Rattus norvegicus: one gene and its partners. Each later gene encodes a partner of the first gene's protein in a complex. Links are inferred from orthologs where the notes say so. Each region holds a gene or a part of one and is shown in the gene's direction. Other genes may lie near its edges.

Region 1 (3,198 bases):
TAGCTCTGGTTGTCCCGGAACTGTAGACCAGGTTGGCCTTGCACTCGGATACCCAACTGCCTGTGCCTCCCAAGCACTGGGATTAAAGGTACTCAGCACCACCCAGCTTTATTTTCTTTTAAATAATCAGGTACTTTCTATAATGACTTTGGGAGGTAGAATTGGATGGAAATGAGCTTGCTTTCAGCTTCAATGTGGTTTAGTGGTGGAGTACTTGATTAGCATAAATGAGGCCCTGAGTTCCATCCCAGCCCCAAAGCTGGGTGTGCTGGCTCATGCCTGCCATCTTAAGCACTTGGGAGGATCAGGAGTTTTGAGGCCAGTCTGCTGCACAGTGGGGCCCTGTCTTGGGGTACTCAAGGAAGGAGTTGAGAAGGAGAACAGCTGAAAACAGCTGTGTGGCTGTGTGTAATCCCAGCACAGGGAGACAGGTGCTGGAGGCTTGCTGGGGCTGCAGAGTGAGACCCGGTCTAAAAACAAACCCTATGGAAGATCCCTGGAAAGGGCTGTTCAACCTCCAGTGGTCACAGGTTGAGATCTGAGTTCTTGTTGGGTAGGACTTTGCTGGCTCCACAAACAGAAAGTGATCCTAGCAGAGTTTCACTGTGAGCCACCAAGTACAAATGCCGCAAATGCTTACTGTAGAGGCTGCTCTTGTTTTGGGATCCTCAGGAGTACACAGACTTATATCTTGGGGGTTTGGTTCATCCTTTCACATGTTGGTACAAACTCAGGTTGCCATCCCATGAAAACTTTTCAGACCAACACTGTGATATTCTCATATCTGTTCTCTCTACAGGAGCTAGTGGAGGATGAAGACGATGACTTTTTGAAAGGCGAAGTGCCCCAGAGTGACACAGTGGCTGGCCTTACCCCGAACTCCTTTGACACCCACTTTCGAAGTCCTTCCAGTAGTGTGGGCTCCCCTCCTGTGCTGTTTATGCCAGACCAATCTTCGCTCCTCTCAAGGATCTGTGATTGAGCTACGCTGTTCTCCCCAGGGCACTGTGCCCCACCACTGATCCCGCATTGAACTAGTCTATGCCTCGTGTCCAGCCTCCATGTTGGACTTCAGCCAGCATCTGAAGGGCCCCAGGTTGTGTGTGTTTGCAGTTTGCTCCCTGTGGACATAAGGAAAGATTGAGTGTCATGTGCAATATTTCACAGTGAACAGAGCAATCTGTGCCTACAGCCTTCTAATTGCTGGCTCCATGCTACATCAGCCTCACCTGGCAGGTGGCCTTCTGACAGGTTCCTTTTTGTTAGACCCACAATCACATGACTTTGTTGGTCTTGTTTTGGGGACATATCCTCCAGGATCAGCACTGCCTGTGAATACTTTTAACTGTGTCCTGCTTACAGTGGCATGATGGTTTCCTTTTGACTAGAAGTCTATTTGTGTTGTAGGGTGCATGGGGAGAGGCCAGCCAGAGGTGGGGCTGAACTTTACCAAGGGGACACAAAGGACTGCAGAGAAGCCAGGTGGGCAGAGAGCATTCAGAGAATCACAAAAAGGCACTTATTCAGGATTCCACGTCAGCACAGCTGCAGCAGCCATGGTTCAGGCTGACTGAAGCGGACCTGGGTGTCTGTCAACATTCATTCCACAGTTTGCACAACATGGACTCAAGCCAGAAGAGCTGTCTTATACTAAACAGCCAGCCTTGCTCTGTAGCAGGTGTGTTTGAGGACTGTGGAAGTTGCCTTCCCTTGTATCCTTACATGTAAACTTGTGTATTTGTGAAAATATCCCTTTAAGTATATTTAATTTTTTGCCACTTATATTTATTTAAAGGGAAGTGATATTTTCTTGGTCACAATATTTTTTAATGGAATTCTTCTCAAGGTTTATATACTCCTGTGTAATGAGACTGATGCAGAGCCCTGGATTTTAGTCTGCCTATGAATACCTTTTTGAATCAGGAAAACTTTATTGCTTTAAAAAGCTTTTATAAGAGGCAGGCAAATCCCTGAGTCCCAGGCCAGCTTTGGTGGCAAGTCACTAGGAAACCTCAAGATTCTATATGTCTTTCTTTTACAGTGTAGTCCTGGCTATCCTGGAAATCACTATGTAGCTCAGGCTGGCCTTGAACTCAGAGATCTAGTTGCCTCCAACTCTGGAGTGCAGGGAATTTGCACCACCACTGCCTGGTTCAAGGTTCTTACTTAACTGCTGACAGAAAATGCAATGAAATTGCATCTGTAGATTCTGACGGGATGTCAGGTTTGGACAGTAGCTAGAATGTAGAAGGTATGTTGACAAATAAGCCTCTTGGAGTATAAAGGAGTTTGAGGGGAAAAATCTATTGTGAAAATGAAAGAACAGCCTAGCTCACCTGAGGCCTCCCTGTTCACAGCCAATGCAGGCTTTAATAAAAAGACTCAGCCATGCCTCCATGACTCCTGTGTTGGTTCTTACCCTCCTGCTCCTAAAGGGAGTGAGATGGTTAGCAACAAATGGGCATTGGTTAAGATGTTTCCTGTGCTTTAAACAAATCTGTACGCTTGAGAGAAATTGCATCCTATCTAGCCATGGTTATACACTTTCTCTAATTTCAGCACTTGGAGGCTGAAGCAGGAACATTTTTAAGTTAACATCAGACATATTGTGATGTTTTTAAAAGCTAAAACATTTTTGGAAGAAATTAGTAAGGTCTCCTTGGAAAACAAAGAGAATTTTCTTTTTTGTACTGAGGATGGAAACCAGGGTCTTAACACATAACATGTACCCAGACAAGTCTCTGCCATCTCGAGGGGAGAAGTTTGCAAGCGCTCTGTGGTTTATAGCTGCGTGCTGCTAGTCCATGACTGGAGGACTCTGCATCTTATTTCAGGCTATTGCAGCCTGGGTCCTGAACTTATTGTGTGGTTCCTCAGCTCCCTTATGCCTTCATGTCTGGCTTTAGTATAGTAAACAGGCTATAGGCAGCACTCAGTCCTTGGGATTCTTCCACTGTTTACTAAGTTTCTACCAATGCTTGTTCTCTCTCTGTGTCTCTTTTCTGAGACAAGGTTTTTCTCTATACCTCTGCTGTCCTGTAGCCCAGTCCTCAAACTCAGATCCACCTGCCTCTGCCTCCCAAGCATGTGCCCACCCCCACCTCCCATTTGTTGTTTGTTTTCTTCACAAGCTTAGGATTGACAAGAATTTATACAAGGTAAAATCTTCTGGGAAGAAGAACCTCAACTGAGAAAGTC
Region 2 (5,050 bases), on another chromosome or scaffold:
TCAGTCGTAAAAGGCTTACCTACTGAGGCCCTGGGGTCCATCCCAGCAGGCATGCATGCACACGCATGAGCACCCCCACACACATGAACCATAACAGAAGTTTGTTACATGTTGAGGCTGGCTTGGACCTTGCTCTGTAGCCCAAGATGGCTTTAAACTCACAACCCTCCTGCCTCAGCTCCCCTAGTACTAAGATAAAGGGATGCACGACCACACAGACATGCTGTATCTTTTATTAAAGCGTGTGCCAGTCTTCCATGAAATCTAGAGCTATATACTGTAGACTTTGTATCTCTGGTTCAAGCACCGACTAGTGTATTTTCTCCATATTCTAACTTTTCATCTGTATTAAAGAGAGAACACAGATTTCAACTACACAGTCTGGTCTCAGCTCTAACCCTTACACAGGTGCTAAATATGTATTGGACAGACAGAGCTTTTAATGGGAAAGGAACGTCATGCCTTATACTGCTTGTGCAGTAAAGGCAGCGGTCAAACCACGGTGGATGTCTGAAGAATGTCCAACTTTAAAGGGAAAGTGGGGCTAATTTCTACTTTGAAAGAAGACACAGGTAAAATTTAGAGTTCAACCATCACAGTCTCGGCAACAGAGCTTTGCCAGTTTCACCCCTAAGTAAAACGACAGGGTCTGTCCTCCGGCATCTTGCTCAGGGGTTTTAACTACTTCTCCAGGGTTTAATCTCACAATAAGTGCACAGAAAGACAGATGAGGGTCTCTTCTATGAAAGAGTAGTTTATGTCCTTTAGAAAGTAGTTATGTGACTTAGCATGGTAATCAGGTTGGCTGCTGGAGGGCTGGGGACGCTGTCTTCAAGCTGGTCCTTCTTCAGTATACGTTTTCCTTACTTTGTACGCTTCTGGTGAATGAAACGACACGACTTTACATTTACTCTATTGTTCACTTACTGGATGGCAGGTATTTAAACACGGGTGAATGGGAGCTTAGGAGAGTGGAAGATGGTCTGCAAGTGAAAGCCAAGACCAATCTCCTAGTAAATCCAAAGAAGTGCTTTAATAACTAACCTCCCTCTCCCTCATCTGGCAAGTGCCTAGGGAGAGAAGAGCCCTAGTCACACCAGTTGCACCATCTTCAAATCCCTAAACTCCCTCTCACCCTCACCATTCCACACTCCTTACGAAGCTGACTCACTCAAGTGCTCAGAACTGCCCAAAGCTGACGCGAGGAAGCCGGTGTAGCCGAGAGACGAACGGCCAGGAGGGCCCAAAAGAATGCTTCTTAGCTTTGCTTTTGACTACTGAGCGGCTGCAAAAGGAAAACAAAACGGTCTCGGGAACCAGCAAAAGTTGCGGTTCTCTCAATCCAAGAGGTATCAGTTGCTCTGGAAAAATCAGTACAGTTTTAGGGGGACGCTCCCGCCCCCTTCCCCTGCTACGTGTAGGATTCCCTGCAAAAGCAAATAGTCCAGGATTAGTGCGGAGCAGGAAAATAGCGAGTGGCCTAGCACTAGCTACTCGCCTTAACTTGGTCGACGTCATAGTCCCAGACTGCGTGCCGCCGTATATTCCCTTCCGCCAGAGGTTCGGCTCCTTCCCTTAAGCGGCCTCGAGTACCTGCGCCATTAATTATGACGTCACGACCCAACGGCCACCAGGACCCGGAAGACGCTCTAGCCCGCCGGGCGCACTCGCTGCCTGGCGCCTTGGGATCGGACGCTCTAGCCCGCGGCTGGGATCTGTACTCTATCTCCCTTCCGCCTACCTCCTGCCGCACAAGGCTCCCCAGCAGCTGAGGCTCCAGGCTCCTAGCACTCCAAACTCTGCGGTCAGAGGATCCTGTGGGAGGAGGACTCAGGTAATTCCCGCTAGGGAAGCGGTGAGGAACCACCTTCAAGGCCAGACTCCTGCGCCTCAATAATAAACTCCTCTTTCCCAGCTCTCATCCGCCATGGAGCTGGCCCGCCCCTGCTCCAACTTTCAATCAGACTTGGATTTCTGCCCAGATTGTGGCTCCGTCCTGCCGCTGCCTGGAGTTCAGGATACTGTCATCTGCCCTCGTTGTGGCTTCTCCATCGATGTGCGAGGTGAGGGGCTGGTATGCTAGCTACGTCCACGATGGAGGTGACCTCAGCACTGGTTGGGCTTAGGGAGGTGAGACTCAGAACAGGAATCTGTTAGGGAGACATTGACCAAGGGAAGAAACTCAAAGGGAGGTCGTGACTCACCTGGGAGAGTGTTGCTGGGATTCGTTGCCTCTTTTGCTATTTCTACTGTTATTTTTTATTGGTTTGTTTATTTTTACTTCCTGTGCAGATTTTGGAGGGAAGGTTGTGAAGACCTCAGTAGTGTTCAACAAACTGGGGACTGTCATACCTATGTCTGTGGATGAGGGACCTGAATCCCAGGGACCAGTAGTAAGTTGATAAGGACTAGCTCCAAAAGAACAATGGAAAGGGGAATTGGGAGACCTGGTTTTGCACTCCATTCCGTGAGAATGTCCAAGGAGTGCAATAGTCTGATTTCTATGTGGAAGCAGAGACTATGATTAGAACTCCATAACCCTTCTGTTCCTTCCTAGGTTGACAGGCGCTGCTCCCGATGTGGTCACGAGGGAATGGCATACTACACCAGACAGATGCGCTCAGCTGATGAAGGACAGACTGTCTTCTATACCTGTATCAACTGCAAGTGAGACGATTACCCCTCCCATTGCCCCTTTTCAGTGCTTGCAAAACAACATTAATGACAGACTCATATTATTTCATTTGGTCCGGTTCATTAGAGGAGGGTTTGTAGCCCCTTTTTATTTTTATTATTTACTTGGCGTTTTTCAAGACTTAGAGCTCACCCAGGCTGGCTTTGAACTCTCAACCATACAGCCTAGGTTAACCTCAAGTTTCCTGCCTCTGTTTCCTGAGTGCTGAGATTCAAGCATGTGCCACTGCAGCTGGCTTGTTAAAAAGACTGTTTATCTTTTAAAGTTATGTGTAGGTGTTTATATCTGCATATTTGAACGTGCAGGTACCCACCAAGGCCAGAGACCTTGGGTCCCTGGAGCTGGAATTACAGGTAGCTCTGAGCCTTTGGATGTGGGTGCTGAGAACTGAACTTGGATCCTCTGCAGATCCTCCTAAGCGTTGAGCTATCTCACAGCCCCCCCAACACCCACCCCCTTACTGTTTTTACAGCTAGTTTTCTAAACCTATTAAGATGTATGAAAAGAGAGCTATGTGTGGTAATGTGTGCCTCAAAAGGAGGATCGTGGTTTCAAGGCCAGCCTGAGCTACACAGGCTGTCACCAAAGCAAAATGAAAACCAAAGCTTCTAGGAAAATTTAAAGCACAGGAAGTAGGCATTGTTCTGCACAGTTGGACAACATGCTGAAATTTTACACTGTGAAGGAGTGACTTGACATAATCTTGCATGATTCAAAGGACGTGGTCTGGATGGTTTGGAGCAGTCTTGTCTTGGTTGTTGTGTAGTTCTACATAATTGTGTGGCTTTCTGTGCTTTTGCTTTTTGTTGTTTTCCTTTCTCCTGGGGGTACCGCTTTAATTCTCGGCCTCAGGCATGTGAAAGAAGTGCTCTGCACTCAGTGGTGCCCCGAGCTCTCTTGTATTTGTTCTCTTTAGAATTGTAATTAATGTTTTTCTTCTTCTTAATCTTCTTATGCTGCTTCTACCTCTGAGATTCAAGGATTACAGGCGGGTCGGTGCCACCATAACTGTTCTGAGGATCCAACTCTGAGCTTTGGGAGAACTATATAAGCACTCTTACCAGCTCAACCACATACCAGTCCCTTAGGTTTCCCAAGCTGAGACTTGACTTACCTTTTGTCAGTCTGGAAATATATCAGCCATTATCCCATTCCAGTATTGCTTGTCCCCCATGTCCTCAAATTTCTTATTAGACTTTCACATCTCTCATCTTTGTATTTTCCATCCCATTTCTGTTTATAGAGTCTTCTGGGTAATTTCTCCAGATCTTTCTTACAGAGAGGTCAGAAAAAGATGTCAGATTTTTCTCTTCAGTTTGTATGTTTGTGGTGGGGAGAATGTTGTAGGTGTAGTGTATTTATGTGTTCATGTGGATGTATGCATGTATTTGTGCATGTGTATATTTGGTAGCCAGTGTTAGACACTGGGTATTTCTCTCTCTCTCTCTCTCTCTCTCTCTCTCTCTCTCTCTCTCTCTCTCTCTGTGTGTGTGTGTGTTTTGAGACAGGGTTTCATTATATTCTTGGCTAGCCTAGAAATCTTTGGAGACCAGACTGGCTTCAAACTTCCAGATACCAATCAGCCTCTGTCTCCAGAGCGTTGGAATTAATGTATGCCGCCACTTCCAGTTCTCCACATTATCTTACGAGGCAGAATCTCTGATCCTGGAGCTCAGACTAGGCCGGTTACCCAGTCAGTGCGTTTTGGACATTCATTTTCCCACTGTCCCATGTTTCCCAGATCTAGTAGAGCCCATTCTGTACATGTGGACTACCACACCCAGAATTTTCTTTACTTTTAAATGGATCCCAGGAATCCAAATTCAAGTTTTCATGTCTGTGCAACAGACCCTTTCCCAGCTGAGCCGTCTCCTCTGCCCTCCCCTTCATTACTACTTTTTTCAAATGTCACGAACCATCCAGTTAGCTTGTGAGTCATTTTAAATTTTCAATCATTTCACTTAACACTTTTATGTGTGTGTGTCTTGCTTGCATGTGTGTAAGTGCACTGTTTGCATGTCCGGTACCCAGAGAGGTCAGAAAAAGATGTCAGACTCTCTGGGACTGAAGTTAAAGATGGTTAGATGAGCCACCAGGTGGGTGCTAAGGATCAAACCTGGGTTCTCTGCAAGAGCAACAGGAGCTCTTAACCAGTGAGCCAACTCTCTGCACCCACTAATCATTTAAAGTTGCCCCTTTTATTCTTTAAATGTGTATGTTAAGTATATTAAACGTGTGTGTGTGTGTGTGTGTGTGTGTGTGTGTGTGTGTGTGTGTGTGTGTGTGTGTGGTGATTCTAAGATCCACCGTTTCTGTGGATCTGATACTGTCTGTTTCTGCTGATGTCTTCACGGT
Region 3 (4,829 bases), on another chromosome or scaffold:
GGACACTGACCAGGTTTTCAGCATAGTGGCTTTTCCAGCCCCACACAGTCGTGAGCCATGAGTTCACAAAATTCCCAGTTCCAAGCAGCTTAAGGGAAAAGGGGGGTCGGTGAACCTGAGGCACGGCTACATCCAGGTGTTTAGAATCTCGTCTCACCCACTTACCTCTGTCTGACTTAACTCAAGCAACAATACGATGGCTTCTTATTCCAAAGGAAGAGTCAGTGTCTGAACTACTGCAAATCCTACAAAAGACCTCAGTTGCCCTGACTGGGGACATCTGTGAGCCACTTGCTAGGAGGCACAGAAATATTCAGGGACAGGGTACGGTGTATTCTAGGCAGCTAAGAGAGAGGTTCTCTGCATGTCCTTCACTGTCCCAGTGCTATCCTCTGCTGCTCTGTCCCTAGGTGTCCCTGGGCTTCCCTCAGCCGCCGGCTACGTCGATTCTCTATCCTGGGGGGTCCCGTCCTAAGCAGGTCCGTGTCATTGCTCATGGGGAGGTTGCTGCATGAAGAGCTGGCCACGAGGTGGGAGCAGTTGCTGATGGATGAGGCCTTCACCGGGGGTGCTTTGGCCTGGCTGCCTGGAAGGACAGCACGGGCCGGGCAGCTGGTCTACCCTAGTGGAGGTGCCTTGGACAAGCTGTGTATCCTTTCTCCTTTGGGGTTGTGGGGGGGTGTCCACACAGTGGGCCAGGGGAAGAGTGAGCTGGGCCACTGGGGTCCACTCTAATAATCCTTAACCAGGCACTCAGATTTCCAGGAGGTCAGTGTGAATTCAGGTGGCAACCCTCGGGTCCTTGAGGACCCTGGGCACATCCAGCTGCGGGGACCTGTACGGCAGGTGGTGACTAGCACTGTCCAGGGAGAAAGTAAGATGTCTTCCCTCCCTCCCTCCCGCCTCCCTCCCTCTTCCTTGTCCAACTAGCTACCATCACCCTCTACACACACACTGCAATCCCGACCTCCCTGTCCTCCCCAGCGCTTCTGGCCGTCCGCTCTGACTACCACTGTGCTGTGTGGAAGATTGATAAGCAGGAGCCACCAGCACCCCTGCAGGTGCTACAGGTGGAGAAGGGAGCCACTGGTATTAGCCTCAGGTAAAAGATGTGGGCTTCCCGGCATGGACAGGGTCTGGGAGAAGGGCTGAGTTGCTGGATGATAACACAGCACCTGTGCCCTGTAGCCCTCACCTGTCAGGAGAGCTGGCCATCTGCAGCCGTTCTGGAACTGTGTGTCTGTGGACCCCACAAGATGGGTAACTCCCCTCTCCCCCAAAACCTTCCACTCCAAAGCAGACCATGGCCTTCCATTCCATGGCCCTAGTCTTCCTTCTAGCCCAGCCCCTCAACACCTTTGTTCCCCAACCCCCACCAGGCCCACACTCATGGCCTGCCTTCCTCCTCAAGACTGCAGACAATCTACAAGGACCCTGAGACGCTTGCCTTCCGTGATCCGTCTCCCTGGCGCTGGGCAGACTTTACTGCCCATCCCCGGGTGCTGACTGTGGGGGACCGCACGGGTGTGAAAATGGTTGATATTCAGGTATTGGTTGAGGGGGGTGAGGAGAAGCATTAAGCAGGAGACTCATCTCCAGCCCTAAGACACAGGCTAAGTGTGCTGTACTTTGTCTAGGGCCCGCCGGGCTGTGGGCTGCTGCTGTTCTGTGCTGGAGCAGAAGCTGCCTGCCAGAAAGGAGAACGGGTGTTGCTTGCCCAGTACCTCGGGCAGCCGGGTCCTGCCTCTACGTCTCTACATCTCATCTGCACCCAGGTGAGCGGCAGCCTTCTCGGCCTCTGCCTCTGACTTCACCAGCACTGCTGCCAGTAGGCCTGATGCACAGCCACAGGAACCAAGGAATGATGGGTCCCCGTGCATGTGACCTCACTAGAGGCAGGCGGACTGGGTCATCTGCAAACCTAGATCTCAGGACCTGGGAGGAAGCAGAGGTTGATTCTGGCTCAGGGCTCCAGTTGGCCCAAGTGCCTACTGTTGGGAGTGCAGGGATGGATGTCAGGGACTTCTGGGAACCCTGCTGCTGCCCAGAAAATACGTTTTAGGTTGGGTCGGCCGCATTGAGGGGGACTTGAAGGCCAATGGAAGTGCCGTCCTCCTGCAGGCTGTGTGGCCTGCCAAGGGTTGTTGGAAGGCTGGTACGAATCCACCATGCTCACTCTCCCTTCTTCCTCAGTTCTCGATCTACCTGATGGATGAGCGCCTCCCCCTGGTGCCAATGCTTAAGTGGGACCATGGCCTGCCATCTGCACCCCTGCTTGCCCGCCTGCTACCCCCAGCTAGTCCTGGCTATCCCCGGCCCCTGCTACTGGGGGGCCAGGGTGGACAGGTTCAGCTGCTTCACATAGCAGGTCAGCCTGGCAGGTGGGGGGTAGGGTGGGGTGGGAGCTTATGGAGACATGCTAGTGCTGGCACTGGTATGCCTAGCTCTCTGTCCTTTCTCCAGGAGAGGGGACTTCCATTCCCCAGCTGGCAGGACCTCCTCAGTCTCTGCCCTCCATCACCGACTCCCTCTCTGCCTTTCCCCTGCTGGAACCCAAGAGGCAGCAGCAGCTGCAGGAACGTCTGGAGGCGCCGGTCATAGGTGCGGCAGGCAGAGGCCTTGTGGGGCTGCTGTGGGGGGGTACTGCCAGGCTCTACAGCTCTTTTCCTTCCCTGTCCAGGTCTGGCCGCTGCCCCGCCCTGTGCCTCTGCGCCAGGCCTGTTGCTCTTCCAGCTCTCAGCAGCTGGGGACGTCTTCTACCAGCACCTGCGCATCCAGCAAACCTCCAGCCTCAGAGAGCCTGATCACCCAGCACCAGAACGGCCTGCATCCAGGGCGGCAGCACCTCCAGTGGACCAGGGATCCACACCCTCTTGGACCTCTCGGGCCAGTGCCCGTTGCAGCCGCTGGTTGGAGGCGCTGATGGAGTTGTCCCCCACTAATCCAGTGTGGGCTGCCCCCACCTTCTCCCACCGCCGTTTTCTGGGCCACATGGAGCGGCAGAAGAGCCAGGAGACCCTGGCACAGAAGCTCCAAGCAGCCATGGCCAAGGGGCAGCTCCTGCGGCCTGGGGACCTCGGTACACTCCCCAAGGCAGAGCCACCCCCTGCACCGCAGTGTAGCCAGCAGGATGAGCTCACTGAGCGCTTAACCAAAGCCTGGGAAGGCCAGGCAGCTGCCTGGTGGAAAAGACATCAAGATCAGACCTCCGGGTCCCAGAGACAATCCAAGCGGCCCAAGCGCCGGACTCAGCTCTCTAGCACCTTCTCCTCGTTCACAAGCTACATGGACTCCCCAGATGCCAGCAGTGCCCCTCACAGCCAAGACCTCTCTAACTCTGAGGCCTGCCCTCAGCCACCCAGGACTCCACCCTCCCAGGAGTTAACGCAGGAGCTGTGGGCCCAAGGTGTGCAGCATGAACGTCGCCAGACCCTCCGGGACTACATGGCCAAGCTGCCACTTCAGGACAATCCAGGACCTGTGGCTACACCGCCCTCCCAGACCTCTAGCCGCCAGACCAGGTCTTTCAGGCAGCAAACACCTGTCCTCTCTGGCTCCCATCCTCCCCGGAAGAAGCCACGAATGGGCTTCTGAGTTGGGGAAGCATGTCTGAGAACCTAGCCTTCATCCTGGAGCACTGAGCTTACCTATTCCAGGGCAGAGCCTCTACCTCCCAGTGTGCCCGTGGGAACTTGAGCAGTTTGGAGCCAGGCTGAAGCAATGGGGAACAAATCTGTTTTGTATATTTGGTGGTAGGTTATTCCTGAGAGCTGGCTGCAGAGAGAGCCAGGAGACCATGCACAGGAACTCTGTGTAGCCATGGCCAAGGGCCAGCCAGCTCTTCTAGCCTGGGGATCTGCATATACTCTCCAGGGTAGAGCTACCCCTGCACCTCAGTGCAGCAGGGTTGCTAGAAAGGAGGCCATTGTGTCAGCGTTAGCCTCCTGTCCTTGAAGGTACCTCAGCCCAAGTGCCTCCTGACATGGCTGTTGTGGGTCATTTGTGCGACAGTCCACATAGGTTCAATAGGGGTTGACGCTTTGACTCTGGGACTGAATAAACTTGTCCACTGCCTTGAGCCGGATGGTCCTGTGGTCAGAGCAGATGGTGTCTGATGTGTAAAGCCCACTTGCTCTACCTTGGGGACACACACACTGAATACAGTGGGGTGGGGTTTCTGACGTCATCAGAAGAGAGCCTGACTGGCAGCCCAGTAACATGCTGACCATGCGGGTCTTAAGTGTTTATGTTCTCGTGGGATCTGTAACCAGGGGAAACCGATGTGTTGGGTACACGGCAGGCACACTGGTGTAGCTGCACAGCACCTGCCATGCAGGGTGCCGGAGCAAACCAGCAGGGATACATAGAAGAGGGTGCCCTGCATCCGCTGCACCACTGCTAGACTAACAGTGTAGACTGCCTTGGGGTTCAGTCCAAGCCAAATTCAATATCTTCCAGGCCTATCCGGGTGCTGGGCTCCTCTGGGTACAACGAAGACTGTGCTTCATTCTCAGCTCCATCTCCTGAGGAGTAAGGAGAGAACAAATCAGTACTTGGTAAAGCTGCCCTTCTTGCTGAGCGCCGGTCCAGGCCAGCACAGACTCCTTATGTGCACTTAAGACCCACACAGTCAGCATGTTTACTGGGCTGTAGTCATGTGCTCTGATGAGATCAGAAACCCTACCCCACTGTATTGTGTGTGTGTGTATGGATTGTGTGCACGTCCCCTTGTGCAAGGGGAGCACTGGGAACATAAGCCAAAAGCAGGTACCTAAAATGCACACCCAACCCTTGTGTTTTGTGCTAACTGCCCAGACAGCCTGTGCCTG
Region 4 (5,078 bases), on another chromosome or scaffold:
ATTTGTTTTCTACCTTTTTATTTATTGGTTTATTTATAGACATAGTCTCACTATGGTCATAACTTGGTATATACATTGGGCAGCCTCACACACACGTCCACCCACCTCTTTCTCAGAATCAACGACATGAGCAGCTTTTCTTCCCTTAAGAGAGAGAGAGAGAGGGGTTGGGGATTTAGCTCAGTGGTAGAGCACTTGCCTAGCAAGAGGAAGGCCCTGGGTTCGGTCCCCAGCTCCGAAAAAAAAGAAAAAAGAAAAAGAGAGAGAGAGAGAGTGAGAGAGAGAGAGAGACAGAGAGAGAGCGCGTGTGTGAATGTATGTGTGTATGGGTGTCTGTGAAGGCCAGAAAAAAGGCACTGAATCATAGGAAGCTAGAGTTATAGACTGTTTTGGCCCACCTGACATGGTTGTAGGGAATTGAACTTGGGTCCTTGAGACTAGCAGTCAGTGCTCTTAATCTCTGAGCCATCTCTCCAACCCTTATATTAAGGATAGGTTCTTACTATATTATACAGACTCGCTTTTCTTGGGCTCAGGCGATCCTCCCAAGTAGTAAGCTTGCATAGCTTTATATCTGCCTAAGACAAACACACACTTTTTTGGTGACTGGCTAACATGGGTGCTGGGGACTGAACTTTCAAAGAGTAGTAAATGCTCTTAACCACTGAGCCATCTCTCCAACTGTAACACACACACTTATTTTGGCGTGTGGTGTGCTGGGACTGAAATCCAGACTTCACATCTGCCTAGAATATACTCTATCACTGAGTGACACCCCAGCTCTATAATTTTCTATTGTTAATTTTTCTTGTTACCCTCCTGTACTATTAGCTCTATAAGAGCAAGAATTGGCTTTCGCAATCCTCTCAACACTCTATTCCGAATACCTAGGACAATATCCAAATCATATATTGGGTTTTTAGTCGTTGAATAATTAAATGCATGCAGGTTCATTCACATAGCAGAGTCTGGAGCTACAATTGTGTGCGGAAGCTGGCTCGTTCTTTGCCTGGTGGCATTCACCATTTAGAAGATGATAGCTGGGACACTAAACACCTGTAAGACTATATATTATGCTAAACCCGGTGAAGGGAGTTGAATGTGGTACTGTGAAGGTCCTACTGTGGTGGGAAGGAGATAGGCTTCATTGAAAGTGCACGTAAAAGATGAGCTAACCATTCCAAAATTCTCCATCTCTGGCCTTTGATTCTCCCCAGAACCCTTCTGAATCCCAAGCTCTTAAGGGAAAACCGCACCGCTCAAGTCTTTGGTCCGCTAATGCACTAACCTCTGAGAAGCTCACAGGTCCCCGGCGTGTAAGCGGCTTGCTTACGGCAGCGGTGGAACCCGGTTCCGTTTGCCACTGCGTCCACCCTCTCCTGTGAAGCCATGGGAGGGTTCTAGGAGGGAGAGAAGGAATGACCAGCCCTCTTCCCGCGTCGCAGACAGACCTCTCATCGCTAGCAACCTAGGAGACTGAGAAGCTGGTGCTCGACCCCTCGGCTCCGGACAGCGCGGTGACCACAGTCCTTATCCTGACGGTCTAGGGCGGAGCGCTCACCATCAGCGATGACCCGGGCGTGACAGAGCCTTCCTCACGGAAATCCTCCGGGGAGCCAGAGTGTGAGCGTCCTCACCAAGCACTCCTTATTACCATGGTAACTAGCAGACACGCCCCCACGCACGCGCATTAGCGCTCGCGATCGACTGCCTCCCGGAAGTGATTGCGCCTAGGTCACGGCGCAAGCGCAAACCACACGTGTTGCCGCAAGGGGCTGAAGCGCGCGTTTCTCTGCTCTGCGACCCGGACCGGCCAGTAAGGAGAAGGTATCATGTCAGACAACGAAGACAAGTGAGCGCGGGCCACGGAGGGACGGAGGTTGTGGTGCAAGCCGGGCTCCTGGAGTACAGGCTAGTGGGTCGGTGGGGCGAAGTCTTCAGAACTTATTACCTCGCGGAGCAGTGGGGACAGTGGGCAGAGATTTCGTCCGTGTAGCCCCTGCCCACCGAGCGCTCCCTTTCTGGAAGTGAATGCCAGTGGTGTAGCTTGCGTAGTCGTGGAAGTAGGGAGGAAAGAGCAACCCAGAGAATGGCCTGGAAGGCTGGGAGCAGACGCGGACTTGGACTAGGTGAGATAGTAGCAAAGGTGGCCAGAAGTGGGAGTGGACTCTGGAGAGCTTGAAGTTTAGTGTTGTTTGAGACAAAGTCTCACTCTGAAACCCAGGCTGGCCGGGGATTCATGATGTAGCTAAGACTAGCTTTGAATTTGCTACAGTCTTTTGCTTCAGCTTCCCAAGTGTTGGTATGTCTGGTATGTGCTACCAGACCCAGCTGGATTATAGACATATTTTTATTTTATTTATTTGGAGAACAAATATAACCATATATCAGGTGGTTCGAACTTAGAGATCCATCTACCTCTGCCTTCCAAGTGATGGGTATTTTTGTTCTTTTTTGAGACAGAGTCTCTCTACATAGTCCTAGCTGTTCTGAAAGTCAGTGTGTAGATTAGGCTGTCCTCAAACTTACAGAGATCTGCCTGCCTTTACCTCCTGAGCACTGGATTACAGGCGTGTGCCACCATGCCTGGCTCCTGATATATTTTAAAGATAGAACCTAAGGGATTCCCTGATGGGCTGGCTGTATGTGTTAGGTCAAAAGATAAACTATGGTAGTCCAGCTATATCAGTAGTATAGATGTATCAGTCAGAACTCAGAGGCTGGGTGTGGTGGCTCACAGGTATAATCCTAGCACTTGGGAGAGGCTAAGGCAGGAGAATTGCCATGAACTAGATGTCAATCTGTGCTAAATAGTGAGTCTCAGGCCAGCCAGAGTTACATAGTATTCAGGAAAACTGACTTCAACACAAGCAGACAAAACACAGGCAAAAATGCAATGAAAGCAGAGATGGCAGTGCTGACCAGGGCAGAGTGCCACCAGAGAAGAGATGGCTAGTTAGTGACTGAGGGAAGAGAACCCAGAAAAGGAGCCCCTTCCCCAGAGTGGGAAGCAGGAGGAAGGAGCCCGGTGTGCTGGCTGTCGGATGAATGTCTGTGGCAAGGGTTCAGCACTGTAATGATCGTTAGTGAAGCTGGGAGTGGTGCAAGTGTTTGGTCCCAGCACTCAGGGCAGACAGGGGCAGAGGGATCTCTGAGTTCAAGGCCAGCCTGGTTATGGAGTGAATTCCAGGACAGCCAGGCAGCACAGAGAGACACTTTGGGAGGGCTGGGTTAATCGGTGAGCACACAAAGGGTGGCTTTGGAGCTTGAGGGTGTGTTGAAAGTCTTACTGAGGCGAGAATATGACAGGGAAGAGAAGAATTGGCAACAGTGGGTTTGGCAGCTTCCTCATACATTTTGTGCTACAGGAGGCTGATGGAATGGCTCAGTGGTAAAGGTGTTTTTGCTGCACAAGTAGAAGGAGAGAACAGGAAAGGTTGTCCTGGTGGTGTATGTGGACCCGGTAACTGGAGGCCATGAAAATGGCAGTGTTGTCTTGGCCTTACGTTTGTTTGTTTTGTTTGTTTTCTCCACCATAAGGGAATATGGAATTAGACTGTAGCAGGAGGAGAAAGAGAATAATGATTGGTTGGCTGGTTAGTTGGTTGGTTTTTTTGTTGGTTTATTTGTTTTTTTTTTTTTTTTGTTTTTTTTTTTTTGTTTTTTTTTTTTTTGGTTCTTTTTTTCGGAGCTGGGGACCGAACCCAGGGCCTTGCGCTTCCTAGGTAAGCGCTCTACCACTGAGCTAAATCCCCAGCCCCGGTTTATTTGTTTTTAAAAGAGGCCGGTGATGCTGGTAGTGTGTTGGTCCTGAGAAGGCTGGGGATTTCATGCATGCTGTATATACACTCTACTTTTGAGTTACAAAAGTAACTCCAGTCCTGGAGTAAACTTCATTTGCCTTTGCTCTTGAGACAGAATCTTACTATGTAGCCCAGGTGGAGTTCAAACTCCTAGTTCTCTTACTTCCACTTTCCAAGTGCTAGGCATACTGGAGTGTGCCACCACACCATCAGATTTCTATTTCTCTTCTTACGATAGGCTGACGAGAGGGATGGCTTAGAGGTTGTCAACACTTGCCAATTTTCCAGGGAGCAAAACCTTCATTCCCAGCACCAGGTAGAACAACTCCAGCTTCAGGGAATCTCACCCTTTTCCGGCTTCCACAGGCACTTGTGTGTGTGTACACTCAAACTTACACAAGATAAACATTGAACAGTCTCCAGACCAGAAAAGTATCCATTTACATGCTGACTAGAATAGTTCACAAAGAGGGAAACCACAACAAACGAGTCCTAGCAAAATGTAGGGACATATGGGACAAAATTGGAGACATAAAGTGACCCACCAAAGTTTGGTTCCCTTGTTGGGGATTTGTCAGTTCCACGTCCGTCTGTCCATCATAGCTGAGACAGTAGGCTGTGTCTCTGCTTCTGGCCAGTGATGCCCTAACCACTGGTTTCTTCTGGCAGTTTCGATGGCGATGACTTTGATGACGTGGAGGAGGACGAAGGGCTTGACGACTTGGAAAATGCTGAGGAGGTCAGTAGCGAGCCCCAGCCTTGGCCCTGCAGCCGGGGACACCGAGGGATGAGCAGTGCTCACCAAGAGCTCTCGCTGCCCTTTTCCCAGGAGTGAGCTTCCACAGATCCGCTCTGGGCCTTCTGAGTGTCACCTCAACTAGGTCTCGGGATTATTGTGTCTTATTATGTATGATTTGTTGTTGTTGGTTTTTGGGACTTGTTCTCAGTAGATAGCCTGGAGTTTACTATTTAAGCCAGGCTGACTTGTAGGTCACGAGAAACCAGCCATCCTCTGCCACCCGAGTGGTAGGATTAAAGGCAGCCCAGGCAGAGGTAACTTTGGTTTTATTCACCACTGTATCCTAGCACTTACAGTACAGTTTGGCATACAGTAAGCACTCAACAAATAGTTACTTTTTTTAATGTGTATCTTTATGCACATGCATGTGTGCCATGTGTCTGTGTATGCAGGCACACTTACCTGTGCAGCACACATGGAGGTCAGAGGTCACTACCAGGCATGGTCCTCTATCGTTGTCCATCTTATTTTTCAAG
Region 5 (4,919 bases), on another chromosome or scaffold:
CTCAGGAGTAAGAACGCACTGCACTCTGAGGAGCCACCCGAGGAGAGAGCTGTCTAGGAGTCCAGGTGAGGACGGACTAGGAAGGAATGAGAACAAAGTGAGTGCTGCTTAGACTAGGTGCAGAGGGCAGTGCACCTGAGGGAGGTGCAGAAGGAAAGGGGGAGGGGTCAGCACACTTGAGGGAGGTGCAGAAGGGGCAGGGGTCAGCACACTTGAGGGAGGTGCAGAGGGAACGGGGGAGGGGTCAGCACACTTGATGGAGGTGTAGAGGGAAGGGGGGGGTCAGCACATTTGAGGGAGGTGCAGGTGGGGGTGGGGGAACGACGGGGGCGGGGGTTAGCGCACTTGATGGAGGACCTAGCCAATTGTACTTTTCACCATGTATTCAGCAACAAGTTCAGTGACCAGAGTGATGGGGTTACAAATATGGGAGCCCACCAGAGCTCAGGGCTCTGTATCTGACTGAAGTCTGGACGAGGGTCTAGATGTGAGGACAGATGTTTCAGAGAAGGCTCCTCACCTGCTTCGGACCTGGGCAGGCTCCACATCAAAGTAGGGTCTCAGGATGTCGATATTGGCATACAAACTGAAGGCCTTTGAAGCTTGTCTCTTCCCTGCCTGCCACATCTGAAAGGAGATGGGTATTATGAAAAACTCCTGGCTCTAGACGGTTACCCGGCCTCCGCTTGATTTCTGTGTATGTAGGTCTAAGTGGAAAAAGTGTATCAACCTAGGACACACACAGGTCTTCCTTTCCATTGGCTTACCTGATCTGCTACCTGCCGGCTCAGTTGTCCCTTAAAGCCTTTCATGCCGAGAAACTCCCCGTCCTCTTCTTCTGCAGCAGCTGCATCAGCATCTACCTCTTCCTCACGCAGGCGCTGATGTAGTTCACCCATGTCCTCGAAGCTGGAGCCTGAGGTATCGTCCATGTTCTCCATATCAATCACAGCCGAGCCCCCACCCTGTGAAGACAATGGCTCCTAGTGTGAGGGGCCCTTCCGTTGCATCCTTTGGTTCTCCCCTCATCTGACAGTTTGAGGCTTTGCTCTTCCACTGACGAGGATATGGCTTGGAACTGCTACCCACTGTGTTATACATAACCTTTCACTGCTGGCAACTCTTGGTGGCGACACTTGTAGTTCGCCCTCCCCCCCCCGCCCCTCCCAAAGCTCCAAAGAGTTGCAAAGAAGCCCATCTGCCTTTCCCAACTCTCAAACAAGCCTATTTTAGGAAGTGCCGAAATTCTATCCTGTAGTCCCATACTATGCCTGATCCAGGCAGATCCCCCAACCCGTCTGCAAAGCCCCGGGCAGGTACAGAGACTCGAACCTTAATCTAGCCCTTTCACGCCAGCACAAGCTCTACACACTTTCGCGTGGAAGACTGAAAGAGGACAGGCAGTGTGGCAATAGAGCCGACTTCCACGCCGCGAGAAAAAATAGCAACCACACTCGGCCGCCAGCCCGGGGAGTTGCTGGCAGCAAGAGCTCTCAATACCTGGATGTTTTCTTCGAAGCCTCCCCATTCCGGGCCAGCACCATTTCGGACGCCGCTGGCCGGCGCCGCCTGAGTCGCCATGTCCCTCGAGGCTTCCCGTCGCTGAAGCTAGCGCTCGTGGGAATAGTGTGAGACCTGGGCCCGAGGGAAGGAAAGGTTCAGAGGAGCGACTAGGCGAGGTAGGACCAGCCGGAACGCAAAAGTGAGAAACCCGGATGTTTGGCCCCAATTGACGTCCGGAAGTGAAGGACGTGGACAGAGGCGGGACAAGATATCGCGACAGTGAAGATTGCCGGAGACGGAACGTTGCCGCGGAGACGGAGGCGGGCCGCTAGCACGCACGCGCTAACTTGGAGCCTCCTCTCACGGCTGATGGTGGAAGATGGCGGCTGCTCAGGCGGTGGAGGAAATGCGGACTCGCGTGGTTCTGGGAGAGTTTGGGGTTCGCAATGTAAGAGATCGGACCGCGGGAGTGATGGGGGAGGCACGGGAGAGAGGAGGCCTGGTGTATGGCCTGGCCTCACTGCCCTTTCTGTTGGCTCTAGGTCCACACCACTGACTTTCCCGGTAACTACTCCGGTTATGATGATGCCTGGGACCAGGACCGGTTCGAGAAGGTGGGTAGGGCTGGAAGTGTCCAGACGGTTTGAGGGGCCAGACCTCACAGGTTGGGTTGGGGATCTCTGTTTTCATGAAACATGAAAACATGTTTCCCGATCCATGGACGGGCCGTCAGACACCGCTCCTGTTTGTGGAATAAATTGTTTGCTCTCGGTGGGGTAATGGGCCACAAACAAGTTATTTCAGTATAATAAAATAGCGATGAAGATGGCTGGGATGGGGTAGGAATCATTGATGCACTTAATCCAGCCAATTGAAGGGACGTAGTTAGGGAGTGACATTTGAATTAAGCTTTGAACTATGAATAAAAGTTGAGCGGTGAAGGCCTAATTCGAGTTTCATTATAAACGCTTGTATAAGGTTTGCTCTTAGTCAGCTGCAGCAGCTCATTTTTGTCAGAATGTAAGTCCACCAGCATGAGCAGTAGATAAGATTGGAATGCATTTTAGACTCTGTAGGTGATAGATTTTTATTTTTATGTCTTTTTGAAACAGGGTTCCATGGCTGCCCTGGCACCCCCTCTGTAGACCAGGCCGGACTCAAACTCAGATTGGTCCACCTGCCTCTGCCTCCCGTGCACAGGATTAAAGGCATGAGCCACCATGCCCCGTTAGAATTTTTCAGTAGACTGATAAAATTTTGCAGTCTTGATAGCTGGGAAGGAATGAATCTGGCGAATCTGCCAGCTAGTGTATGGAGGCTGAAATTGGGGGCATGGATGAACTGCAGATGGTGGTAATGGAGTGAGAGTAGTAACTAGCTGATGCAGACCATTGCTGTGGTGAGGGCAGTGTGAGAAAGGACCTTGTGGCTTGAGGAACGGATAACCTTTTCTTGGTATGTATGTTTGCCTGCATGTGTATTTGTGCACCACTGCTCCCAGCAGTGTGAGGAGGTCCCACTGGGTGCTGGGAACCAAATCCATTCTTCTGCAAGAGCAGTAAGTGCTCTTAACTGCCGAGTGGTTTCTCCAGCCACACTGGGGAACTGTGTTGCTGGCTGTGTCATTTGCTAAGCGGGAGGACCAGGGCGATGGCACAGTTGTTTGCGAAGTCTACCGGTCGAGTGGTGATGCTTGAAGTCAGACCAAGGTCAGGAGCTGCTATGCCCTTGCTTGAGTCAGCAGCATGAAGGTCACCCAGGGGATTTAGAACCTGGGAGAAAGTAACGTTTACTGGGTGGAAGAGAAAATTTAGATAAGGAAAAGTAGATATTAAAAAATGCAAGTATCAAATGGTTTAAATAGGTGGGAAGTTCTGCTTTTTGTACAGTAGCTTTGCTGGGTGGTCTGTGGACTATCTGAGAAGCCAGGCATAGTGGCACACACCTTTAATCCCAGCACTCAAGAAGCAGAGGCAGGGGGTTGGGGATTTAGCTCAGTGGTAGAGCACTTGCCTAGCAAGCGCAAGGCCCTGGGTTCGGTCCCCAGCTCCGAAAAAAAAGAAAAAAGAAGAAAGAAAAAAAGAAGCAGAGGCAGGTGGATCTTTGAGTTTGAGGCCAGCCTAGTCTACAGAGTGAGTTCTAGGACAGCCAGGGCTACAGAAAAACCCTGTCTTGAAAAACATAAACAAGGAACAGTACACTGCCCTCCCAGTGGGACTAGAGACAAAATGTCTACTGATGATCTTGGGGGATAGTGCCAGGGTAGACTGGGTTCACACAAGAGGAACAGGTTTCCCACCCACTGGGCTTTCTCTACCCCTCTAGAACTTCCGTGTGGACGTGGTGCATATGGACGAGAGCACACTGGAGTTCGACATGGTGGGGATTGATGCTGCCATTGCCAATGCCTTCCGGAGGATTCTGTTAGCTGAGGTATTAGAAGTCGCGGGCTGGAGTGTGGAAACTGTCACCCCATCTGTAGACTACCGGGCGGGTGGGGCGGTTTACACCTATAATATGAACACTTCAGAGGGCAGTCCGAACTACACAGTAAACCTTGTATCAAATCTGAAGGGCAAAACTAAGAAGGGCTGCCCCTCGTTTTTCCAGGTAGGGGATGGGTGGAGGTCAGGTAGATCATTTTGCTTCCTTGGGCAGGTGCCAACAATGGCTGTGGAAAAGGTTTTGGTGTATAACAACACATCCATCGTCCAGGATGAGATCCTTGCTCACCGCCTGGGGCTTATCCCCATTCTTGCTGATCCACGTCTCTTTGAATATCGGAACCCAGGTAAGGCTGAGAGGTTGAGATTATGAGTTAGGCAGAACTGTCCTGGAATCTGTCATGGGCTCAGATCCCAGGCCTAATTAACTGTGATCTTAGTTGGCTCTTGTACATGGGCCTTCGCCTGTGAGAACGTTCTCTTGCCCCTGCCTTTAATCCCTCACTCTTAGCACAGTGCCAGCAGCGCTCAGAGGCTCTTTCCACCTTTACATGGTTTCTAGGGATTGAAGTTGGGTCTGTAGGTTTAAGCAAGCATGCACCCTCTGAGGCTTCTTGTCAGCCCGTTACTAGAGCTAGTAGGGCCAGGCAGGCATGGTGGTGTACATCTTTACTCCCAAGACTGGCAGAAGTTTAAGGCCAGCCTGGTCTACACAGCAAATTCCAGGATAGACAGGGCTTGTGAAACCCTATCTCAGAGCCAAACCAACCCTGCTGCTTCTCCCTGTACAGGAGAGGAGGAGGGAACAGAGATAGATACACTACAGTTTCGGCTGCAGGTCAGGTGTACCAGGAACCCCAGTGCTGCTAAGGATTCTTCCGACCCCAATGAACTCTATGTGAACCACAAAGGTGAGCGGTGCTGAGAGGGCCCACCAGCCTGGGTGGGCAATTGTAGGATCTGGGGTTTCTG
Region 6 (4,180 bases), on another chromosome or scaffold:
TCCAACCCCCTTGATTTCTATCCAGAAGCAGGCTGGGGTTGCTTCTTTTCTTTTGGGTAGCATGGCCTGATTACTGCTGGCTGTCCTAGTGATCAACATTCAGAGTTGAGTAGAGTAGACCATAAGTGCACAGCCCACAGAATCAAATAACCAGGGCTCGTCGAGGTTCACAGAGACTGCATCGACAATCATGGAGCCTGTATGGGTCTGAGCTAGGTCCTCTGCATGTATTGATGTATAGCTTGGTATTCTTGGGGGACTTCTGACAGTGGGAGCAGGGGCCGTCTCTGACTCTCTTGCCTGCTCTTGGGATACTTTTCTTCTACTGATTTGCTTTGTCCAGACTTGATATGAGGGTTTGTGTCTAGGCTTATTGTAACTTGTTATGCCATTTTCAGTTGATATAACTGGAAGGCCTGCTCTTTTCTGAAGGGAAATGGAGGAGGAGTGGATTTAGAGGAGAACGGTGGTAGGGGGGAAGATTGGGAGGAGGGAATGGAGGGGAAACTGAGGCCAGAATGCAATGTATGCGAAAAAACTAAACTAAAAAAATAAAAAGAGTTGAGAAAGAGACAGAGCCATGGGTGGTGGCACATGCTTTTAACCCAGCACTCAGGCAGAGACAGATGGAGTGCCAGGCCAGCCTGGTCTACAAAGCAAGTTCTAGGACAGCCAGGAGTACATAGAGAGACCCTGACTCAAAAAACAAAGAAACAACAATAAATAAATAATTATTATTATAATAAACCAAGAGTTGAGTAGAGAGGACAGGTTGGTGCCCCAAATCTGCATTTCAGTAGAAGCCAAGACTTCAGAGTCTCCTAAAGTCTGCATCAGGATGTAAGAGGCAAGCTGTGAAAAGGGACAGAAGGGAACCGTTAAAGATACTTCTATCGGGTCCTAATTGACTAATTAAGCTAATATGGGTCACAGAGGTCACACACTAAAGTGGAAAGGGATTTAGTACGGTTTGTAGGATACAAAACATCGAAGTTTAGAGGAAGAGGCAGATCTGCCTGTCTATGTAGTGTTCTCTCTCTCCCTCCCTCCCTTCCCCCTCTCTCCCTCCCTCCCTCCCCCTCTCTCCCTCCCTCCCTCCCTCTCTCGGTGTTTCAAGACACCTCTGTGTTATTGCCCTAAGATGTCCTAGCACTCGCTTTTTAGACCAAACTGGTCTCGAATCCACAGAGATTCCCCTGCCTCCCGATTGCTGGAATTAAAGGTGTCTTGTGTGTAGTTTTAACAGGTCCAACCACGCCATGGTTTAAGTTTCCAGTCGACCGTGAGAAATGGAAGGACCAAAGGTGGGGCGGGCAGAACAAGAGGAACTACATTTCCCAGCAGGCCACGGGGTAGGGTGGCTGTAGGGTTGCTCCGGCCATTCCTGCGGTCCACGAGTGGAGTCGTAGCTCCGGTTTCCCGTCCGGGGCTCGCAGAAGCATGGATGTCGACAGCCGGTGGCGGAACCTGCCCAGCGGGCCCAGCCTAAAGCATTTAACCGACCCCTCGTACGCGGTTCCTCCGGAGCAGCAAAAGGCGGCGTTGCAGGACCTGACGCGGGCGCACGTGGACTCCTTCAACTACGCAGTGCTGGAGGGGCTGAGCCACGCGGTGCAGGTGAGTGGAGCGCACTCTCTGCTCCGGAGCCCGAACCCTCGGCCGGAGGGTCCCTGAGGTTGGAGGAGGTGGCCGGGAGGCCACAGTATGACCTCAAATAGTGATGCAAGCTCACCCTACAGTTCTTTGGGATAGTTCAGAGAGAAAACAACTTATAGCCTAGTGATGGAGGGAAACATGTATTTGTGATTTCTGGATTTATATGTGGGTACGAGCCCTGGTTTTGGGTACTGTGAAAGGAGAGTGAGGACGTGATCTATTTGAGACTGTTTTCCGCCCATTGACAGCGCTCACGCCTTTTCACACCTGGAGTCTTACGTTCTAAAACTACCTCAGAAGGTTCCAAGCTGATTCAGACAGGCTGCAGCAGAGCACATCCTTCAGTTTGCTTCCCTTAGAGTTTCCTTTGGGGGCCAGGAGAGCGGGAACGGTTCGAGACAGGGTTTCGGTAGCGTTTGCTGTCCAGGAACTCCGTAGACCAAGGCTGGCCTCGGACTCACAGACATCTGCCTGCCTCTGCCTTCAAGTACTGGGATTAAAGGTGTGTACCACCACCCAGCTTCTTTTAAGAATTTGCAAGAGGGCTGGAGAGATGGCTCAGTGGTTAAGAGCACTGATTGCTCTTCCAGAAGTCCTGAGTTCAAATCCCAGCAACCACATGGTGGCTCACAACCATCTGTATGAGATCTGATGCCCTCTTCTAGGGTGTCTGAAGACAGCTACAGTGTACTTATATATAATAAATAAATCTTTAAAAAAAAAAAGAATTTGCAAGAGAAAAACTTGCCACCTCTTCTGAGTTGGGCCTGTTGAGGAAGATTAAAAAAAAAAAAAAAAAGCCCAGGGGATCATTGTAACCATGGTAGCAGAGTTCAGGAAAGGACGATAAGGCAAGGTCTCTTTTTGTTAGCATCTGTAGTCCTGGCACTACGCTCTGAGAGTAAGACACCTCTCAGGTTTAAGTGTACCTCACCCTTGTTGGTTGTGTAGGGGTAGCAGGCACCTACAAGCAGTCAATGGCATTCTCTTGAGAACTGCTCTAAGATGTAGAGCTTTTTTAGTCAGGAGCACCATGGAAGTGCAACTATTCCAGGTGTTTAGAAAGGTCTACATTAGATAAGGTTAAGAGAAGAAGATGGTGCGTTCCCTCTGGAGGGAGTAGGTTCGGGGAGGGACATATGTAGTAGACGGTACCCTGAGGTTTTGTTGTCAAACAACTGTATTGTGAGAATTAGGGATGGAGAGATGTGGGAGAGCTTTGACTGTCTGACTGATACTTGGAAATACAGAAGCCATTTACAATTCTTTGAATTGCCAGGCTTCAGTCTGAGGGAATAAAATATACAGAGCTGAACATTTAGATCATCATGTACTTGCCGGTAAAAAAAGCAGTTCTCCTTGTCTTCCTATGCGCAGAGAAGGTGGACTCTTGGCTTAGCGTTTTCTGTGTCTGTAGCACCTACTGCAGAATCAGATACACAGCGCACCATTAAAAAAGCCCTTGGTAAACACATTATAATTAAAGAGTTGGCGAAGTAACCAGTTAGGTATAGCTTTAGTCCCTTTTAGATTTGCTGCGTGGTAGATGTCAGTGAGTGTAGACCATGGTGATTTCAGAGACTCTTAGTGAAGAGTGTGTTAAAAAATGTAAGTGACTTAGCAGGGTGAATTGTCTTTCAGGCCATACCTCCCTTCGAATTTGCTTTCAAAGATGAGCGCATATCTCTTACTATTGTGGACGCTGCCATCAGTCCACCCGCAGTGCCCAAAGGGACCATCTGCAAAGAGCTCAACATTTATCCAGCTGAGTGCCGTGGCCGGAGGAGCACGTACCGAGGGAAGCTGACGGTGAGCATCAGTGGTGGCAGGCAGCCGTCCCTGCACACTTGAGACTAGGGCTGGGGCCTAATAAGGTTATAGGAAAGGCCTGCTTCCTTAGCGTTGCCACTGAAATGATCGTGTCTTCCTCTAAAGGGATCGAGTGTCATCTGAAACATGAAGTCAGTACCTCCTTTTAATATATGAGATGTCTCAGTGGTTAGGAGCACTGCCTTTTCTTCTAGAGGACCAGGGTTTGGTTCCCGGCACCATGGAGGCTCACAGCTGCCAGGAACTCCAGTTCCAGCAGGTCTAAGCCCCTCTTCTGGCCTCCACTGGCACCAGACACACATCTGGTACACAGACGTACATGCAGGCAAAACATTCATATGCAAAATAAAAACAAATACATCTAAATTTTTATTTAAATATTTATTCTGTCATCTCAAGATAATTTCATTTTTTTTTTCTTTTACTTGCCTACAGGCTGATATCAGCTGGGCCGTGAATGGAGTCCCCAAAGGCATCATTAAACAATTTCTTGGCTATGTTCCCATCATGGTGAAGTCCAAGCTTTGCAACTTATACAACCTTCCTCCTCAAGTCCTCATTGAGCACCACGAGGAGGCAGAGGTGAGTGCAGGGATCTAGGCTGCAGGGCAGCAGCAGAGGCTGGGGTTGGAGGTGAGGAACAGGAAGCTGGACCACTGATACGGGTCTGTGCTGTGCCTGACTCTTACCACAG

What was found.
Region 2: Rrn3 (region 1) and Polr1h share a complex: the UniProt entries of both Homo sapiens proteins name them as parts of the pol I pre-initiation complex. The link is inferred for Rattus norvegicus from reciprocal best matches to the Homo sapiens genes RRN3 and POLR1H.
Region 3: Rrn3 (region 1) and Taf1c share a complex: the UniProt entries of both Homo sapiens proteins name them as parts of the pol I pre-initiation complex. The link is inferred for Rattus norvegicus from reciprocal best matches to the Homo sapiens genes RRN3 and TAF1C.
Region 4: Rrn3 (region 1) and Polr2f share a complex: the UniProt entries of both Homo sapiens proteins name them as parts of the pol I pre-initiation complex. The link is inferred for Rattus norvegicus from reciprocal best matches to the Homo sapiens genes RRN3 and POLR2F.
Region 5: Rrn3 (region 1) and Polr1c share a complex: the UniProt entries of both Homo sapiens proteins name them as parts of the pol I pre-initiation complex. The link is inferred for Rattus norvegicus from reciprocal best matches to the Homo sapiens genes RRN3 and POLR1C.
Region 6: Rrn3 (region 1) and Polr1b share a complex: the UniProt entries of both Homo sapiens proteins name them as parts of the pol I pre-initiation complex. The link is inferred for Rattus norvegicus from reciprocal best matches to the Homo sapiens genes RRN3 and POLR1B.

What each region holds. Positions count from the first base shown.
Region 1 is NC_086028.1:2,636,211-2,639,408, reverse strand, and holds the end of Rrn3 (RNA polymerase I-specific transcription initiation factor RRN3), read left to right. Parts: intron 1-799; coding exon 800-982; 3' UTR 983-2,392; downstream 2,393-3,198. UniProt on the Homo sapiens protein: Required for efficient transcription initiation by RNA polymerase I (Pol I). Required for the formation of the competent pre-initiation complex (PIC).
Region 2 is NC_086038.1:1,598,437-1,603,486, forward strand, and holds the start of Polr1h (DNA-directed RNA polymerase I subunit RPA12), read left to right. Parts: upstream 1-1,733; 5' UTR 1,734-1,834; exon of another isoform or gene 1,835-1,915; 5' UTR 1,916-1,927; coding exon 1,928-2,063; intron 2,064-2,292; coding exon 2,293-2,393; intron 2,394-2,557; coding exon 2,558-2,667; intron 2,668-5,050. UniProt on the Homo sapiens protein: Core component of RNA polymerase I (Pol I), a DNA-dependent RNA polymerase which synthesizes ribosomal RNA precursors using the four ribonucleoside triphosphates as substrates. Can mediate Pol I proofreading of the nascent RNA transcript.
Region 3 is NC_086037.1:64,560,328-64,565,156, reverse strand, and holds the end of Taf1c (TATA box-binding protein-associated factor, RNA polymerase I, subunit C), read left to right. Parts: exon of another isoform or gene 1-13; intron 14-64; exon of another isoform or gene 65-324; intron 325-410; coding exon 411-649; intron 650-757; coding exon 758-874; intron 875-984; coding exon 985-1,102; intron 1,103-1,188; coding exon 1,189-1,260; intron 1,261-1,411; coding exon 1,412-1,547; intron 1,548-1,637; coding exon 1,638-1,775; intron 1,776-2,193; coding exon 2,194-2,368; intron 2,369-2,463; coding exon 2,464-2,601; intron 2,602-2,680; coding exon 2,681-3,594; 3' UTR 3,595-4,078; downstream 4,079-4,829. Other genes in the region: Dnaaf1 (dynein axonemal assembly factor 1), read right to left, coding at 4,461-4,829. UniProt on the Homo sapiens protein: Component of the transcription factor SL1/TIF-IB complex, which is involved in the assembly of the PIC (pre-initiation complex) during RNA polymerase I-dependent transcription.
Region 4 is NC_086025.1:112,591,277-112,596,354, forward strand, and holds the start of Polr2f (DNA-directed RNA polymerases I, II, and III subunit RPABC2), read left to right. Parts: upstream 1-1,787; 5' UTR 1,788-1,832; coding exon 1,833-1,852; intron 1,853-4,472; coding exon 4,473-4,542; intron 4,543-5,078. Other genes in the region: C7h22orf23 (UPF0193 protein EVG1), read right to left, coding at 1,289-1,400, 1,562-1,564. UniProt on the Homo sapiens protein: DNA-dependent RNA polymerase catalyzes the transcription of DNA into RNA using the four ribonucleoside triphosphates as substrates.
Region 5 is NC_086027.1:22,231,492-22,236,410, forward strand, and holds the start of Polr1c (DNA-directed RNA polymerases I and III subunit RPAC1), read left to right. Parts: upstream 1-1,826; 5' UTR 1,827-1,882; coding exon 1,883-1,951; intron 1,952-2,045; coding exon 2,046-2,117; intron 2,118-3,828; coding exon 3,829-3,936; intron 3,937-4,161; coding exon 4,162-4,294; intron 4,295-4,738; coding exon 4,739-4,858; intron 4,859-4,919. Other genes in the region: protein YIPF3, read right to left, coding at 521-627, 768-965, 1,501-1,581. UniProt on the Homo sapiens protein: DNA-dependent RNA polymerase catalyzes the transcription of DNA into RNA using the four ribonucleoside triphosphates as substrates.
Region 6 is NC_086021.1:136,785,750-136,789,929, forward strand, and holds the start of Polr1b (DNA-directed RNA polymerase I subunit RPA2), read left to right. Parts: upstream 1-1,380; 5' UTR 1,381-1,440; coding exon 1,441-1,617; intron 1,618-3,297; coding exon 3,298-3,465; intron 3,466-3,921; coding exon 3,922-4,068; intron 4,069-4,180. UniProt on the Homo sapiens protein: Catalytic core component of RNA polymerase I (Pol I), a DNA-dependent RNA polymerase which synthesizes ribosomal RNA precursors using the four ribonucleoside triphosphates as substrates.